Macaca mulatta: one gene and its partner. The protein of the gene in region 2 purifies or fractionates together with the protein of the main gene of each other region. This does not show direct contact. Links are inferred from orthologs where the notes say so. Each region holds a gene or a part of one and is shown on either strand. Other genes may lie near its edges.

Region 1 (9,467 bases), on a different chromosome or scaffold from region 2:
CCTAGTCATTTGGGGCTAACACTGGATTCAACACTCTCCCCTCTTCCTATTCTTTTACGGAGAAAGCTGTATTCAAAGTATACTCAGTTTTTAATTTTCAATTACAAAAAATAACCACAGTGTGAAAATAAAATCTGAAGTAATTTTGTTAGTTTTCTTAGTATTAGACACTACATGCTGAAAATACCATTTTCTCTTTTTTATTTTACAACACATATTTATTTTTTTTTAAATTCCAACAATGCAGAAGTACATGTAGTACAAGACAAACATCTTCTATTGCTTCATAATTCCATTTCCCCAACAAAATCACCATCACCGGTTTGATGTTTTTATTTTTCTATAAACATATTTTACATAAGCTTATTTTGTTCTAATAAATTCAGATTGCTCTCACATGAGAGAAACACTACCTTGACAACTTGTTGAATATACTTCTTCCATGGCTATAAAATCTTTTATTTTAAAGAGTAATCACTTTAAGAAAAAAAGGCAGGAAGGAACTTTATATAAATATCACACACAAGATCATCAAACTGATCTTGTGGTGAGCAACCGTGGTTGGAAAAAATATTTGCTCCAAATAGAGAGATATTCTCTGGATGTCCCAAAATATGACCTGCCTGTACTCTCTAAACCAATGTAGCTATGTCACTGTCTGACAATGCCCAGCTTACCTGCACGCGCCACACTCAAACGTCCCATTTCCTTCATGACACTTGGGACTTTCAGGGATGCCTTCGCTTTGGCATTCACATTCACAGATGTACTGAAGAATAACCTCTACTTCCTCCGTGAAGCCCAGAGGCCTAATTTTAAAGCTGTCAGAATCCTTTTTTGGACACTTATTTGAAGTTATGCTAATTTCAAATTGAACCTTGAAGGGAAAAAAAAGATTAACAACTAAGCAATTTAAATCTACTAAAAAATATTTCAAAAAGTTGCTCACTTATTTTAATGTTTCTCAAAGTACAAACTAACTTTGCTTATAAATAACCAATGTTTTCTACAGAAAATATATACCTCATACATTATATTATACAACATACCTCATCTCCAATGGAAATACAACATACCTCATCTCCAATGGAAATATTGGAACATTTTCTTCCATTTTCCCCTGTTCCATTCACCCCGTTCTTGCAGTAAGATTTGTAACTTATTGTTACTCCTTCTGACAATTTGCCGTTTTCCAAAATGACTTCTGAGGAAAGGGACTAAAAGAATGCCTAATTATACACAGGAAAAGTCAAACAAAATCTACTTGAATGCATAAAACCAATGGATAAATAAACTATTCAGAAAAAAATATATTTCAATAAAATATTTACAAGCCAAATCCAATTGAGCAACTAGAAAACACAGAGGCCAGAGAAATAGGTTTTAATTAATAAGGATCCAATCTGTAAAATAAAATACACAACTGAAAAGAGTATTCGTGTTTTAACCGCTGAGTTAAAATACTCAGGATCACACAGTGTGGAGGGCCACTGCTGATCAGGAGAAGTCTTAGGAATGTGCAACAGGCTGGGCGTGGTAACTCACGCCTATAATCCCAGCACTTTGGGAGGCAGAGGTAGGTGGACTGCCTGGGCTCAGGAGTTGGAGACCAGCCTGGCCAACACAGTGAAACCCCATCTCTGCCAAAATACAAAAATAAAAAAAATTAAAAAAAAAATAAGCGGGCGTGGCAGCATGCACCTGTAATCCCAACTACTCGGGAGGGTGAGACAGGAGCGAGACTCCATCTTAAAAAAAAAAAAAAAAAAAAAAAAAAAGTGAAATAAATGCTGTCTTCCCCATTGGCAAAATGGCATTTCTGCAGTTCTACCTCTCCAGCTAACTACAGACTAGGGTAAACAATCAACTATGCAGTCTAGGAACAAATTTGCTTAAGGAACCATTGTAGCCCAGCCAAAACAAACAAACAAACAAAAAAACCCAAAATCCCCCAAGGATTCAAACCAGTGCTTGTTTAACGTATGAGACTATTCAGGACAAATGGAGAAGGGTAAAATGGCAAGCTATCTCTTGTTCACACCCCTGAAAAACAGGGGTTACGAAAATTATCTAACAGGGGAGAATGGAAAAGCTGTGGAACCAGTAAAACCTTAAAAACCTTTGTAAAAACCCCTCCGAGTCAGGCCTTTCCAAAGTATTATGGTACCCCCATGACATGAGGTAAAAATGTCTAAAATTCAAGCTGCCAAAGGGTTAGGGGGATGGGGGCTGAAAGCGGTGCACGAGGCACACAAGGGTTACCATAATATTACAATTGCCTTCAGATTATTTAAATGATCACTAATTAAGGCTAACTCAGTGTGACTGAAGTACACTGAATTATGCTCAAAAAGGAGAAGCCAATTCCTCTTTAATTTCAATTCAACTTCCTCCCATCTGTGAGGAGAAAACAACACTATAAATCTTTTTGAAATAGGCAAATCACACATATATTTACATTTTTATGTATTTTATGGTATATGTATATATGAGTGTATGTGTACCTCCTGAATAGAAACCTATATCCTCTGAATATATGGGAAAAGAATTGGCCAAAAAAAAAAAAAACACAACTTTTCTATCAGAAAAGTCATCTATTCTATCAGAATATGCCTTTAAGATTTAAGATTTCTGTAGTACTTTGGGCTCGCTAAGGTGTGTATGAAGGAAGTTTCACTTTCTTTGAAGAAAGTATTCTCAACAGGGTATTGTCCAAAACTGATCTTATTTAAGATGTACTCACATTGTATGCATCAATGATCAACTGAATTACATTACTAGAATTTGCAGATAATGTTCCTACTGCTGACTTAGGGATCAAGTTTTTCAGTTCCTGCAATTAAAAGATAAAACACGTAAAATACATCTACTATTCATTCAACCAATTAGCATCTACTGAGCAACTTTTATCTTTAAATGCCAGTTCCCATATGTCTCATCCTAACTAACTTTAGGAGTCAAACCTAGAAACCAGTTTTATAATATGTAATTAAAAGTTAATATAAACCACTTTTGTAAAATTCGGTTTGCCTATCTGGTGGCATTTTCCCACATTTCAATTCAGACATGATTTGCCTCTAACAACTCAACCAAAAATATTTAGAATTTTGTTCTTTTTATCTCACACATTTACCTTGTAAACGGGCTGAAATTCTTCAGTAACTGCAAAAATTGTCTGAATATTATTTTCACTCAGTTTCTGGACAAGGTGAGCAATAGAAGGATAATCCTAAGAAATCAAGTAATATATTTTAGTATGTAAATACACCCTTATAATCTAATTTTTCAATCTAGTCATACATGCAAGATTATACATAACTCGATTACAAGACTGCTTTAGATAACTAGATTACATATGTAATTTATATATAGTTAGAGTACATCTCTTGCATACATATAACTAGATTACAAGACTGCTTTCAAATAATATCAAATATAAACTGCTGAAGTGAGTAGTGTGTATACATGAATTGCTAATCCTCTTCTCTTTCATGTTTGAACAAAAAATTCCATATTCAAAAGGTTTTAAATAGTAAGATTATCTATGTATATTAAATATAGGGACAATGAAATTAAAGAATAGTCAGTAATCAAATATTCTACTATCTACAACTTAAGAAAAAGACCAAGATTTCCCATTTGGATTTCTTCTAGAACCTGAATGCTTTTGCCAATATTTCTTTTCAATAAAGGCAGAGTGACTGCTTTTAAAAATCATATAAGACAAAGAGTATGAGACTAGATAAATTATTTATTTAGAAATAGTACTGACTGTGCTACCAAATGCTGTGGGCAGGGAGTTGAGGCAAAGAGTGAAAGTGGCATCTGGGCATCCCTTTCTCACCCCAGTGAGGCCCTTGTCTGAGCAGAAGGAAGCAAATACAAAGCCACATCTTCACAAACAGCAACACTAGCTTTCCTGCACTTTCAATCAGGATCCCTACTTACCAAAATAGCAAAACCTCAAACCCTGAGAAACCCCAAGCCAGTCACCCACAAACTCTTAGTATTAAACATTAAAATCCAACATAAACACATTTGCTATGTAAGGAACTAAGCACTTACATAATAATGACTCATTGTGTACATATTATTTTCCAGGTGACACTGTCCATCATTTGGTAAAACAATGCCACCAAGTTTCCCATCTCCAGCAAAGTGAAACCCGGCATCTGTGGAAAACACCAGCAGCCGTGTAACATTCCTCCAGCCAATCAGTGACTTGAAAAGAAAAGGATTTCAATTTTAAAACACTATTCACGGTAATTCAACAAAAATCCTTTAATTTTCATACAGGCCACCATTGTATTTTAACCTAATTCTGTTTTTTCTGTGTCTTCTCTTTATACAATGCTAATTATCTTGCTGAGAAATGCACAAAGCCCAGTGAATGAAGCTCTTCCATCCCATGTACAACCATATCTTGCCTGACCATCCATCTCTCTCAGTTCTTTTTAAAAACTGTTTTTTGTTGTTGTTGTTTGGTTTGGTTTGGTTCTGCTTATCATCGTATCTCCAGCAGCTAGCAAGCCAGCACACTGCTTGACAAGCAGTAAGCGCTCGATGAACATTTGCTGAATAAATGAAAGTGTCTCAGCCTATTCTTACTTTACCCCACTGCTGCTGTCTTGTCCCCATCCACCCATCTGCTCTATATTCTATGCCATACACCTTATCAGCCCACCATATGAGGCTTCCCTTTTTTATAACGGAAATAATTATCTTGTTTAAGGATAATTTCACCCATTCTAACTCCTCAATCAGTACTGTTTATCTGCTCATTTACTTTATTCTTGACCTTTCCAATAAGAATCTAAAGTAACTGTAAAATCTTTTTGTCACTATGGTAATTTATAATTATAAAATCTTATGACTACAGGAATTTACTTGCTTTAGTTAATTTATTTAATACGTCTGTTTAGATCTTCATAAGACTGTAAAATCCTTTAAGGTGGTAATCACATTAATTAATACTGGCAATCTTTCAAAAGTGGAGTGATGAATCATTTTGCATCTAGAGGAGTGGATCAGCATGACCAACACAGAAAAATAGCCACAACCAAGGGTGCTATGGCTTGTTTAATCCCACAGGTTAAGGCCTAGTTAGAGGCAGCCCAGAGAATGCTCTCTCCACAAGGAGATGCTAACTGGTTCATATGTCACTGGCTAGCAAGAAAAGAGGTGTAAGGCTAGGCACTACCTGGAATGCTACCTGCTTCGGCTACAATAGCAAGGACTAACCTTAAATTGCAAACACTCTAGTGAAAACTCGAAAGTAACAACAATATAGGAATTGGTATTTGCCGAATGCTCACTGGTACTTCTAGAGATTGATGCATTTTAACTTCACAAGAGCCCTATGAGGTAGATAACTATTATCATCCCTTCTTAAAGAAAAGAAAACAGCCCTGGAGAGACTAAGTAAATTGCCCAGCATCAGTGGTGATAGAAAAATTTGTATTACTATCCATATTCCTTCACTTATTATTTTGGGCATCAATTAGCACCTTAGCAAAAATTGACTGAAAAATAACCATTAAGAGGCCTCTAAAATCAAAGAAGGTCATCTAGAGAATGGGGGCACTGGATGGAACAAAAATGAGACAAGAGTAGGTACACAGGACAAACTTGACCTCACAATCTTTTCTAGTTTCAGCCTCAGCCACACCATTCAAGTGTCATCTCAAAATATGCTGCTGCTACATGGATCATAAAATGCCAATTACTGATCCAATAGGGATGGGCTTGCTACTAAAAATCTTACAATTAAAATTACAAATATTATACCACTTCTCAAAATACATCTATTCATATAGCTTAAAAACTAGAGCTTAAAAAGTTATTTCTTTTTGAATTACTAATTCAAAAGATGTGAAAGATGTGTCTTTCAAAGACAGTGAGAAGAAAACTGACCAAAGGAAAATGATACAAGACACCCTCCCTTTGAGCAATTTCAAGGTTCCTGGTGATGCCTCAGGTAATAACATCAATTCTATCTCTGGTACAAAACCAGAAAGTTAAGACACAAGGGCTTTTCTAAAATCCAGACCACCACCTACAGTACAGGGAGGTTGCCCCGCTGTTTCAAATGGTTAGCATTCTGGCTTTTAAAAGCGTGCATGAATAAACTAACTGCCTGGTTTGCATAAAGATTAAATATGCTTTTATAAAGGCACCTGTATACAGGCAATTTAAGGATTTACTTAAATTACTTCTCTAAGATAATCAAATGTATGAAAATTAAGATCAATTTTTCTATTAACATAGTAAAATCACACTTAAAATTCACACACGTAATAGAAATAATATCCCCTTATAGGAAATGAATGTGCTTACTCCACAAACTGCAACTTGCATGATGGCATCAAAACCACCTTCTGGAGAATCCAAATTTCCAGATATGCGCTGTTTTCCAACAAGTTCATTAAATACTTCTCCTTTATTAGTAAGACTGAGCACATTTTTGTAGCTAAATGGGCTGGTGCAGTTCTGTTCACTTGTGCAAGGGTTCCTGAGCTTAGCTGGTGTTGTGCTAATGTAAGGCATCACAGTCTTTTCCACAAATGAACCAAATCCTGTAAAGAAAAAAATGGTACATAAATGAATGAATGGAAGGATAGATGGAAAGACAGAGATTTGCATTCTTTAAAAAATTCATCTATGTTACCACATATTGGTTACTACGGACTGAATGTCTGTCCATTCAGGCAGAGCCCTCATGAATGGGATTACTGACTGACACAGTCTGGGTATTTGTCCCCACCCAAGTCTCATGTTGAAATGTGATCCCCAATGTTGAAGGTGCGGCCTGGTGGGAGATATTTGGCTCAAGGGGGCAGATCAATCCCTCATGGCTTGGTGCTATTCTGACCAAGCCATGGTCAGACATAGTGAGTGAGTGACATAGTGAGGGAGTTCTCATGAAATCAGGTATTTAAAATTGTGTGGCACCTCCCCCCACCTCTTGTTCCTGCTCCCACCATGTGAGAAGCCTGCTCCCCACTTTCCCTTCTGCCATGATTGGAAGCTTCCTGAGGCCTCCCAGAGGCCTTGCTGATGCTAGCGCCATGCTTCCTGTAGAGCCTGCAGGACTGTAAACCAATTAAATCTCTTTTCTTTATAAATTACCCAGTCTCAGATATTTCTTTATAGCAACGTAAGAATAGACTCCTACAGTGACCTCATCAAAGAAGCCCCAGAGAGCTGCTGTCCCCTGCTGCTATGTGAGTACATGGCAAGAAGGTATCATCTATGAACCCAGAAGAGGGCCCTCACCAGATGCTCAATCTGCCTTGATCTTGGACTTCTCACCTCCAGAGCTGTGAGAAATAAATTTCTGTTGTTCATAAGCCACCCAGTTTATAGTATTTTCTTAAAGCAGCGCAAATGGACTAAGACCTAAGTCAATCTTTTTATTTTGCCTCCCTACTTTAAAAATAACTCACATTCATTTTCTTGGCACACCAGCTGTCAATAATGGCATGCTGAACAAAAGAATAACTATTCTAGAATTCTGGCCATTTTAAAAAAGACTAATTTGGTAGGAGTTCCCTAATGCCATGGTCCTTGAATTATGCTTACTGAATAAAAGAACATTTTAAGCAAGTGCTCTTTTTTAAAGTTTCCACTAAAATAGGGCTAGTTTTTGAAAGGCAGCTCTTAGGCCTCATGATTGTCAAATCTTTCTAATTTTCTGTTGCTAAACCTCTGCAGCAACAGGAGTGGAGAGAAGCAGGCAAAAAAGAGGTTAAGCTGGGGACGCATGAAATGGGAAAAATAAGGTTTGGAAAACAGATCATCACCGTATGAAAAATCCAGGTCTAAGGTGAGATCAGGCTGTACAGGCAGGTACAGCCATACTAACTAGTAATTAGATAAAATCTGGGTACTCAATACATGTTTATAAAATAAGTCCTAAGGGCCAGGCATGGGGGCTCTCGCCTGTAATCCCAAAACTCTGGGAGGCCAAGGCAGGTGGATTACCTGAGGTCAGGAGTTCGAGACCAGCCTGGCCAACATGGTGAAACCCCATCTCTACTAAGTTACAAAAAATTAGCTGGGCGTGGTGGCAGACGCCTATAATCCCAGCTACTCCGGAGGCTGCGGCAGGAGAATCACTTGAACCCAGGAGGCGGAGATTGCAGTGACCGAGATCACACCATTGCACTCCAGCCTGGGCAACAAGAGCGAAACTCTTAAAATAAAAATAAAAATAAAATAAAATAAGTCATAAGATAAATGATCAAGTTAGTGTGAAAACAAGCATGCAAGTCAGTATGAGGTACAATCTGTGTTAAACAGTAGCATCCAGTGACAGAGGAACAAGGTGGCAGAAAAGATTATTAAACGTGTGACCGGAATATCAATTTCCACTCAGAAAAGGCTAAAAAACTGGCCTGTTTATCTCACAAGTATGTAGAGAGTAACAAAGGAAGAAAACATAAAACAACATTTGAGAATTGCCAAGACTTTATAATGAAAATGATCGATGTTTCCAACATTCCTACCAATTCTGAAGTCAGACGTAATCCTCCTCATTTCATTCATCAGATCTGTTCCAAGACTTTTTACATTCTCCAAATCGTCTTTCATTGAGTAAGACAGGTCCATAAGGTAGTAGAGGTCAATGGGATAGTCTTCAGCTCTCTTGAATTTTAATGTAAATGTCTGTGGCTCCCCTAATTAGACAAGAGATTAGAAAATGAAACTTGCCTGTTGGCAAACGAGAAGAAACAAATAAATGTGATTTACATGGTAAACACAATAAAATAAAACATGCTGTCATAATTTTTACAAAAACCTGGGAATTCCATAAGTAACTCAATGGGTATGAATTCAATTTCATTCAACAAATACTTAAAACACCAGGCCTTCAGGATGCAACGATAAAAAAAGACATTCCCAATCCACAGTGGACAAAACAGACAAAAAGTCAGTTTACAAGAGAAGGAAACAAATAGAACATCATAAATTAGTCTGGGGAGAGCAAGGCAGAACACGTGATAGGGTACAACTTTTTAGACACTGAAGTTGTGAACTCCATTCTGTGTGTAATGGGAAGCCACTCCCTGCAAGTGAATAACACGATCCAATTTTTACTTTAGAAAACCTGGCAGAAAGCTTTAAAAATAAATTACTGAGGCAAAGAGACTAGCTAATCTATAAAACAAACCCAGAGAGAGATGATGAAGGAGGAGAAGAGAGAGATGCAAGAGATGTTAATGTAATTTACTTAGGAAATACACGAGAAAGAAGGTTTGGATGAAAATGTAATTAAAATTTTAACTTGTAGTTTTCTCTATAAAAATTTCTAATAGGCAGTTGGAGAAATGGGTTTGGAGCTCAAGAAAAAAGTCTCTGTTGCTGCAGCATACAACTGGTTTTAAAGCCATGAGAGCAAAACTGACATTCAGGTGGACTACAAAAACGGAGGGAGAAAAAAGACACAAAAAGAGGCCTGGAAGGCA
Region 2 (9,467 bases):
TCCAATGTATGTTTCTAAGACTAACATAAATTCCTTTCAAAACATATTTCTTTGTGGACTTTCTGCTAAGAGTTTGTGCATTATATGTCTACGAATTGTCAAGTTTCTAAATAAGTACAAAAGTATTACTTTAGAATTGACAGTAGAACTCTTCCCAAGATTACCGTTACATTGACTAGCATGTTAACATAGTAGACAGTCAGTACTTGTTGGTTGAATAAATGGATTTATAAGCCAGGGTTTTTCACCTTGCTGTGGCTCAAATGTAATAACAGGGTATTGAGCACCTTCAGTGTTCATTACTGGATGCCTGTATTATTCATTCTTCCTATCCTTCTTTAGTTGCAAACCAATTCAAATGGTTTAGTCTGAATGGGGTTGGTCAAATCTGTTTCCGCCATTAGTGTAGAGACCACCTTTAAGATGGCTGATCCAGAAGTTTTAGTATTCTGGACCTAAACACGCTGGATTGATCTTAACTTCTTTGCTTAAGATTACCAACAAAGTTCTGCAAGCAAAGTGATGATGAGATTAGAGAAACCCTCATAGGACCACTCAGACTAGAATGAAACTGGGGACCTCCCCTCTCCTCACTCATTTATGGGGCTCTGAGGTGGGATTCCAACCAGGGTAGCTTCTTTGGGTTGGGGATTAAGGTATGAGTGGTGAGGGTAGGGGTCTGAGAACACTGTGCATATCCTTTCCATTTATTCCCACTGGACAATTTATGTTAATTATAGAATGTTAATTCTATTTCTTAAAAACTTGGGGTGGGCATTTTCTGAAGTAGAATTTTTTTGGGTTTCTGTACTAAAACCTTGTCTTTCCCTCTTTTATGCCTTAATGAATTTTTTCCAAGTCCATAAAAGGAAAATATGTCATAGGGAGACTTGAGTGGATGTATTTGTCAAGGTTATATATGAGAGGAAACAATGATTTGTCAGCCTGACATGGAAAATGGGAAAACTGACTAGGATTTGAAACAGAAAGCTTGGATGTGTGTGCATGAATTATTTCCTATGCCTTCCAGAAGATCTTTGTGTGAGATCCTAAATGGGGCCAATTTCTAAATTAATATGGTCTCTCTTTGCATTTTAAAGAGATCTGACACTTTTCCATTTGTTACTTAAGTGTTCCTTAGGCTACTTAAGTGTTGATCAATATATTTATAATAATAGTTATCTATACTCAGGGGGATCCTGCTTCAGAAATAATACTATTATCGTTATTTCTACCCATCTTTTTTTTACAGTATAATTGTACAGTTATACAGTATCAAAGTTGTTGCTAAGAAATACACTAAGTTATTGGGTAGGATTTTTTTCAAAAGTTTGTTAAGATGTTTGTTAAATTCTTTTGCAGCATTGCTTGTGATGGTTAAACCAAACAAAATAAAAATGCAAAACAACCAAATATCTTGTTAATATTGAATCGGTTATATAAATTATGATCCAGTCAGAACTGGAATAAGTTGGATCTGTATGTCCTCATATGAAAACTTTCCTAAGATTATGTAAAATGCAAGGTACAGAAGAGTGTTTTAGCATTCCTTTTGGGTAATAAAATGTGCGTGTGTGTATATGTGTGTGTGTGTGTGTGTGTGCGTGCGTTATATGCATATATCCTGGTAGATAAGCAACCCTGTATCTGGAAGATATTCGGAAAAGTCTTGTTAGTCCCCTATGGGGAGTGGCACTAGGGAAGGTGGGGAGGGATGATCTCTCACTGTGTATCTTTCTCTAATGTTTGGGTTTTCTCGGTAGTAGGACTAGGAGCCATTTTAGCTTTTGTCCTTTATAATTCTCTACGTTAATGTTTTTGAGGATATATTTTAAAGAACATTAGAATACATTTGAATTCAAGTTGCCATTACAAAAATACATGCCTAATATGATAATTAGTAAAAGTAAAGTCTCATTTCAATCTTACATTTATTTCATTCTTAAATATCTGGAAAAATATTGGCCATTGTAGGACAGTAGAATAATAAAAAGACTGTATTGACAAAAAATATTTAGAAGAAAGGATCAATATAAGAAGGAAAATATTCAGGTAATGTGGTAACATCAATTTGGGTTGGTTGCATTTGTTTCCAATGCCTTATTTTAGCAAGTGGGGATCCTTTGAAGTCTGCAGTTACTGATGACTTTTTCAGAGATGTATTATTTGGACTGTATTTTGCTTCTGCTTGTGCTGTTTGCAACTCACTTGATACAGAAGCATTCTTTTCATCTTTGCTCTTTGGCTCAAGCTCTAGACATGATGACATATTTTCCTTTTTGTTTTTGCTCAGAGAGCTATTGAATGATCTACAGATTCCATGCTCTTAGGGGCTGGGGTGATTGTGGTAGAAATTAGACAAACCTGCTGTCACTGGATTTCTTGGGAAAGTGCTGCAGTGTGCTATTCAGGGGTCATTGATCTGTGCTGGGAAGCTGTCCTAGTGCTTCACCAGGTAGAGAACTCTGGCTCCCCGGCCTGTAGGAGGGCATCACCTGGGCCCATTGCACCTGCACAACTGTGCCCCAGTTTGTCTGCCATGAACTCACCTTATTTCTATGTATGAGTTAAAGTGATATCAATCTATTAGAACCTGTGAAATGTGGATGTCACCCACTTCCCAAGACACCCGTCCCCCTGAACAATTAAAGACAGCTGGTATCAACCAGTAACATTTACACCACTGCTCTCAGGTTTGCTTGCTTTGGGCAGGTAAAAACAGGGAACAAAGCATTTCTTTATGGATGACCTCCTTTGGAAAAAACCTCATTTCCTCCTGGCTGGAAGAAAACCCTAATCTGATATGTTAGGAATTTTTCACTCAGAAACTAGACTTGATCTAGTTTCAATATTTGAATATTCAAACCGTGACTAGATTCAATATTTATTGTGAAACTACTGTGTGTAAAACTTTGTGCTTGGGGCCTCAATGTCCAGGAATGGGGATACCGCTTGAGATCTCATATACAATGGGAAGCAGGCAGTGAGAAGAAAGTGCAGACAATTCTCAGGACCTTTGAGAGTTCTGTTTCAACATTTTGAAAATGTTTGCAGCTACTCAGAGGGCCTGCAATGTGAAGTGTGCCTGTGATGTGTGGCTACAGGGATCTTTCTCTGCCTTTCTGGGCTGTTCTCGTTAGTTTAATAAACCTAATGAGTCACTCAAGGTTTTCCTAGGGACCTATATGTCTGTGGACTTCTGTTTTAGTTGACAAGAATTGTAATTCAAATTCTTCAGTTAAGAATGAGCATACAGAGGACTTATTTAGCCATGAGCCAAAAATCTTCTGATCTAGAGTTGGTGTTAGTGATAACAGGTTACCCACCGCTTCACCTACCTTGTTAAGTGAATTTCAGCATCATACAGGAGAGGAATTTTGAGGTTGACCAAATTATCAGGCTCGTTTTCTTCTTGGCTTTCACTATAGAAAGAAACATTACGAAATTGATTCCCTATTTAATAAATGGTGCTGGGAAAATTGGCTAGCCATAAGTAGAAAGCTGAAACTGGATCCTTTCTTTACTCCTTATACGAAAATTAATTCAAGATACATTAGAGACTTAAATGTTAGACCTAATACCATAAAAACCCTGGAAGAAAACCTAGGTAGTACCATTCAGGACACAGGCATAGGCAAAGACTTCATGTCTAAAACACCAAAAGCAACGGCAGCAAAAGCCAAAATTGACAAATGGGATCTAATTAAACCAAAGAGCTTCTGCACAGCAAAAGAAACTACCATCAGAGTGAACAGGTAACCTACAGAGTGGGAAAAAATTTTTGCAATCTACTCATCTGACAAAGGGCTAATATCCAGAACCTACAAAGAACTCAAACAAATTTACAAGAAAAAACCAAACAACCCCATCAAAAAGTGGGCAAAGGATATGAACAGACATTTCTCAAAAGAAGACATTCATACAGCCAACAGACACATGAAAAAATGCTCATCATCACTGGCCATCAGAGAAATGCAAATCAAAACCACAATGAGATACCATCTCACACCAGTTAGAATGGCAATCATTAAAAAGTCAGGAAACAACAGGTGCTGGAGAGGATGTGGAGAAATAGGAACACTTTTACACTGTTGGTGGGATTGTAAACTAGTTCAACCATTATGGAAAACAGTATGGCAATTCCTCAAGGATCTAGAACTAGATGTACCATATGACTCAGCCATCCCATTACTGGGTATATACCCAAAGGATTATAAATCATGCTGCTATAAAGACACATGCACACGTATGTTTATTGCAGCACTATTCACAATAGCAAAGACTTGGAATCAACCCAAATGTCCATCAGTGACAGACTGGATTAAGAAAATGTGGCACATATACACCATGGAATACTATGCAGCCATCAAAAAGGATGAGTTCGTGCCCTTTGTAGGGACATGGATGCAGCTGGAAACCATCATTCTTAGCAAACTATCACAAGAACAGAAAACAAAACACCGCATGTTCTCACTCATAGGTGGGAACTGAACAATGAGATCACTTGGACTCGGGAAGGGGAACATCACACACCAGGGCCTATCATGGGGGGGGGGAGGGGGGAGGGATAGCATTGGGAGTTATACCTGATGTAAATGACGAGTTGATGGGTGCTGACGAGTTGATGGGTGCAGCACACCAACATGGCACATGTATACATATGTAACAAACCTGCACGTTATGCACATGTACCCTAGAACTTGTATAATAATAATAATAATAAATAAATTTTTAAAAAAAGAGAAATATAAAGCTATCCATCATTCCATTGGTGACTTAATTATGTTTTACCTTAAGGCTTGGAAACTGAGAGATGCCTGATTCTGAAGGTTTTGAAGATTGAAGTCGAAGTTAATAGTAAAGGTCACCTAAAGACAAAATTAAAATTTCTCAGTCTATGATGCTTCATACTCAGGGGTCAATGTGAAAAAAAAAAATGCTTCCCATAAAAGTAAACTCACTCAAATTTGATTCTGAATTTTATATACCTTAAGTTTTCCAATTTATAAAATATCTTTATTTGTCCACCTTGTTTCACTATGCTTCACATTAGAATTAGAAAAGCTTGACTTCCAAGTGACACATGTAAGTTATCCAGGTGCATATACCTGTCTGAATTTAGAAGCTATGAGCTGATGTGAAACTTGTTAACAGGGGTTAATAAATGATCTCCATGACTCTGTGTAGAGTGCTTTGACCAATGTTGCTCGACATATTTAGACAAAAAGAACCTTCCATATTGTGTGTACCTTTTGGAATGAATTGCATGGAGAAAATCCCATTTTTATTAATAATTTAAAGAAAACATTCAGATATTGAAAACTTCCCCTAAGTATGCAGCCAGTTATTTTGTGATGCCTATCAAATTATGATAGCAGGATGTTATGTTGGTAAATCAGCATATGTGCTGAGGAGGGCTTGTATGGACTGGAGGATGAAATGCAAGCTGTACCTGTTGTTCTCTCTTTAAAGCAGGGTAGCCTACATCACAGGCAACAGACTTCTGAGATGCAGCCACCTGGCATGTTACTTCCGTCCCATCAACCTGAACAAGACCAAGGAAACAACAATGATCAATTGGCATATAATATTTGGCTGTGTATGCACACACCTGGTGAAAGAGGTACAGTGACATTTTAGCAGTAAGGTTGGTTCAGACTGAAATAATTTATTATCCCTCAAGACTTGAAATTTTATACTGCCCAGGTGGCTAATATACTATTTTTGCTGCTAGCCCTAAAGATACCTAGGACATCCAACAAACCAAAGAAAAGATTAAATACTGTATTTTTTTCCTCAGAAAAAGATAGTTTTTAGATTTCAGATGCACAAATAGCTTTAATTCAGTATTTTAAAATGCTGGCTTTAGGAATATGTTTTTCTCAATTTATTTGAAGCATTTTCAAGAGAAGAATATATTGGTGTTCGTATTTTAAATAATTTGAAGGGTTTTTGTTGTTGTTGTTGTTTTGTTTTGTTTTGTTTTCTTCAGGTTTTTTTCCCCCCCTTTAAAAGAAGTAGTTGCCACTTGGCACAGGATGTTTAAACAGCAAGGTCAGATTAGGTTTAGAACTCTAAGCCTATTAAGATCACATTAACTTTAAATTAAATGAAATCACTATTTAATCCTTTAATCAAGTAGTTCATTTGGAAAATCTCAGCGTTTCCTTCTCTCCCTTTTTTCTTCATCATTTGGTGGTAGGGGAGGGACCAGGGAGCACTCACGGTCAAGTGTGTTCCTGGTATAACGATCAAGTCAATGTGATTAGCTGGCTTTGCTGATGTGCATCATCTTGGCAGCAGCAGCAACCGTAGTTGCAAAGCTCAGGCTGAGCTTTGGGACTCAAATGTCTCAGAGCAAGTGCACCGCATCTGTGCAGAATGCAGCAGCCTCATCACACTGATGGCTCAAGAAGAGTTATGGGAGTGTCTGGCTACTGCTGCCAAGTCTCAGGATAAGGGAAAAACTGACCCGAGTTGTCAAGCAGAATCTAGATATAGAGCCAGACTATGTTCTCATGTGATTTAACTAGTCGGAAGCCACAAAGTTCAGACTGATCATGCTGAGGGTTAAGGTGCTTCTTTAAACAACTCAGAGGACATAGAGTGATCGATAAGTAGGAAGCATGGTAGAAGTAAGCGCAGGGTCTCATCACATACCGGCAGGGAGAATGATGCAAAAAACAAGTTTTCTGAAAAATCAACAACAATTCCAGTGTTGTATGCACTTTCCCTTTTGTTTTTCAGTGTTACTGAAAATGTTAACCTTTTGTTTTGGTTGCTGACAGTAAAGGGTTGTTCTCTGTTAAAAGCAAAAAGGAGGGAGGAAGCCATTACTGTTAAATAAAAAGGCCAGTATTTTAAAATTTCACTCATTAAAAAACTAAACTCTTTAGACTTACCTAGAATACTGAGAAAATTGCTTTGTAATAAACTATCTTTGCATTAAAATGATACTGACAACAAATAAGTAAGTGCGTTTGGATTTTGTTCTTTGTTGCTATTATATTAGAGGGAATGGAACTATTTAAATACAGATAATTTTGTATTTCTTATTAATTTACTCTTATGTGGATAGTAGACATTGAAATTTAGTTTTTAAAGGTCTTGTTAGTTATGAATGTTTCTTTTGTAGAAAAACTCTATAAACATTCACTTGAATAAAGTAATCTAATGTGTCTTTTATTTCTACATTTTACAATGAGCTTTAAAGTAAAACTTACTGAGCAGCTGGTATTTGTCGGACATCTAGAACTAGATCAGCAATGCAAAGTCCATCCTCACCACAGTCTTTGTGGAAAGGAATCTACAAAAAAGGAAAAAAAGATCCATACATTTGCTCTTGGGTTGAAAAAGCAAATTACAGAAGAATACATACAGTATTATTCTATTTACAAAAAGTATAAAACCAAACAATGTTCTAGGAATATATAAATGTTTAACAAAATAGTAAAGAAAAGCATTAATAAACACAAAATTCAAGATAATCATTTGCGCAGGGGGAGCTAGATGAAAGTGTCTATGGCGGGGACAGCGATACACAGAGCTTCATATGTATTGGTAATATTTTTTGAGTGGTGAGCACAAGGCATTTACTTTATTTTTATTTATTTCTTCAACAAATATGTGTTGAACACATACAATGGGCCAGGCCCAGGTCTAGGGACTGGAAATACAGCAGTGAACAAGAAAAACAAAAATCCTTACTGTCATGGAACTTAAGTGTTAGTGAACTTTATGCAAATGTAATTGTATTTTATTTAGAAAATTAAGAATTTACAGGCTGCATCCTAAGTATCCTTCAGACACTATTGTAGTGACTGTGAAACTTTGTTTGCCAGTCTAAATCCAGGAAGTGTAAGCTGCACTTACACTGAAGACCTTGGTAGTCTCAGAATAGGCTTCAAGGGCAGGGCTAGTGCCAGGGTTTTCCAGACTGATGTCCACACGCAAATCCAAAGAGTTGACAACATCAGAGGGCTCCTAAACATACACACACACAAACATACAGGGAGAGACAGAGTCAGTTTATTAGGGCACAGCAGCATTAAAACAAGAAAACGATTACAGATGTGTTTACAATTAAGAGCACAGTCAGCTCTCAATTATGTAGAATATCTTTGTTTCGAATAATCAAGACTCTCACTTCTTTTCTTCCAACCTCATTCTGCTTTTAGCCTCTCTTCTACTAAGAAACCAAAGGAGACTTGGGTCTAGTAAGAATTTGAAGCAGGGATTCTTAGTTAATGAAGCTCATCAGTTCTTGTCAAGAAAGCACTATGTCTATACAAGTGAAACCCTAACATTTGAATTTGCCTTTTACTCAGAAGCAGTATCTTGGTATTCTTTAGTCCATTCACAGGCAGGACTTACTCTTAACTCTTGGGGGCCTCCCAGAAGTCCTCCCAGAAGGACTTACTCCTTCTGGGGGCTTGTCTACCATGATAGCTCTGGGCTATGAGGAGATGTTTCCTTCGCTGGCTGTGGGCTTAGCAAGTAGGATGTACTTTAACTGGCATTGATATCAAATAGAGAAAGAGGATTTTTTTTTTTTTTTTTTACTTTAAAGAAAAACAGCTTGGCTGTCTCCATTTCCTCACTAGGGATTACGAGTATAATCTGATCCACCACTTAGCACAGGATGGGAGAGAAGGGAAAAAAGATTTTTTCCTTTAAAGAATCTATAAAATTGTCACCTTAACAACAAAGAAGTCCATGTCTTCACAAACAAGAAACCTTCAAACTGAAAAATTAACTAAACAACTCAATTGATTTTAATTCATTTAACCGTCAATATGTTTTTCTAGTGTTTACACTTAGCATTTCTTGAAGTAAGATCTCTCTGTACCATCCATTTACATGAGAAATAATTGTGGTGCTCCTTAGACCTGCATATTCCTTGGGCCTTCAAACCTAGATTTCTGATGGTAAGAACCCGGAATATACATTTCCCGAAAGTTTCCCTGGCAGTTCCTTTGCTCCTTAAATTCTGAGAACCATATTCTAAGAAAGTACTTAAATATCCTTTTTAAAAAAGTGGTTTCCTGAGTAAATTATCCTTTCAAATGCCATTATGTGGTTTCCAAGGTGGAAATATTCACATCATTTATAAAATAAATTTCTGGTTGGAAGTGTTCTCCTGAAAAGCATTTTTCTTACTTGGGAAATTTTCAAAATCCATGTTAAATACAGTAATTATAGCATACAATTAGAACAAATAATTGTTATCTCATAATCTACTACATGGCATCTATGGTAACTGAAATCTAATAGTAGAAACCACAATTGGACTTATTTTTCAGTAGCTGAACAATAAATAAAATTTTTCCCTGATAGGAAACTATCAAAATAAAATTTATTGCCAATGGAAAGTTCTCTCTGTTAAACATTTAAGAAAACACTGTATCTATGATTTCTTTAAGAATTGTATTTTTAGCCCTTTCATTGCAATTCCGAATGAAATCTGA

The links.
Region 1: the proteins of ITGA2 (region 2) and ITGB1 purify together in Homo sapiens (co-immunoprecipitation; 3 studies listed by BioGRID and IntAct, with this or other methods). This does not show direct contact. The link is inferred for Macaca mulatta from reciprocal best matches to the Homo sapiens genes ITGA2 and ITGB1.

The regions. Positions count from the first base shown.
Region 1 is NC_133414.1:34,308,175-34,317,641, forward strand, and holds part of ITGB1 (integrin beta-1), read right to left. Parts: intron 8,679-9,467; coding exon 8,508-8,678; intron 6,576-8,507; coding exon 6,337-6,575; intron 4,222-6,336; coding exon 4,066-4,221; intron 3,230-4,065; coding exon 3,134-3,229; intron 2,834-3,133; coding exon 2,744-2,833; intron 1,218-2,743; coding exon 1,050-1,217; intron 878-1,049; coding exon 678-877; intron 1-677.
Region 2 is NC_133411.1:60,828,643-60,838,109, reverse strand, and holds part of ITGA2 (integrin alpha-2 precursor), read right to left. Parts: intron 7,984-9,467; coding exon 7,873-7,983; intron 7,307-7,872; coding exon 7,224-7,306; intron 6,803-7,223; coding exon 6,661-6,802; intron 5,546-6,660; coding exon 5,453-5,545; intron 4,869-5,452; coding exon 4,792-4,868; intron 3,423-4,791; coding exon 3,339-3,422; intron 1-3,338. UniProt on the Homo sapiens protein: Integrin alpha-2/beta-1 is a receptor for laminin, collagen, collagen C-propeptides, fibronectin and E-cadherin. It recognizes the proline-hydroxylated sequence G-F-P-G-E-R in collagen.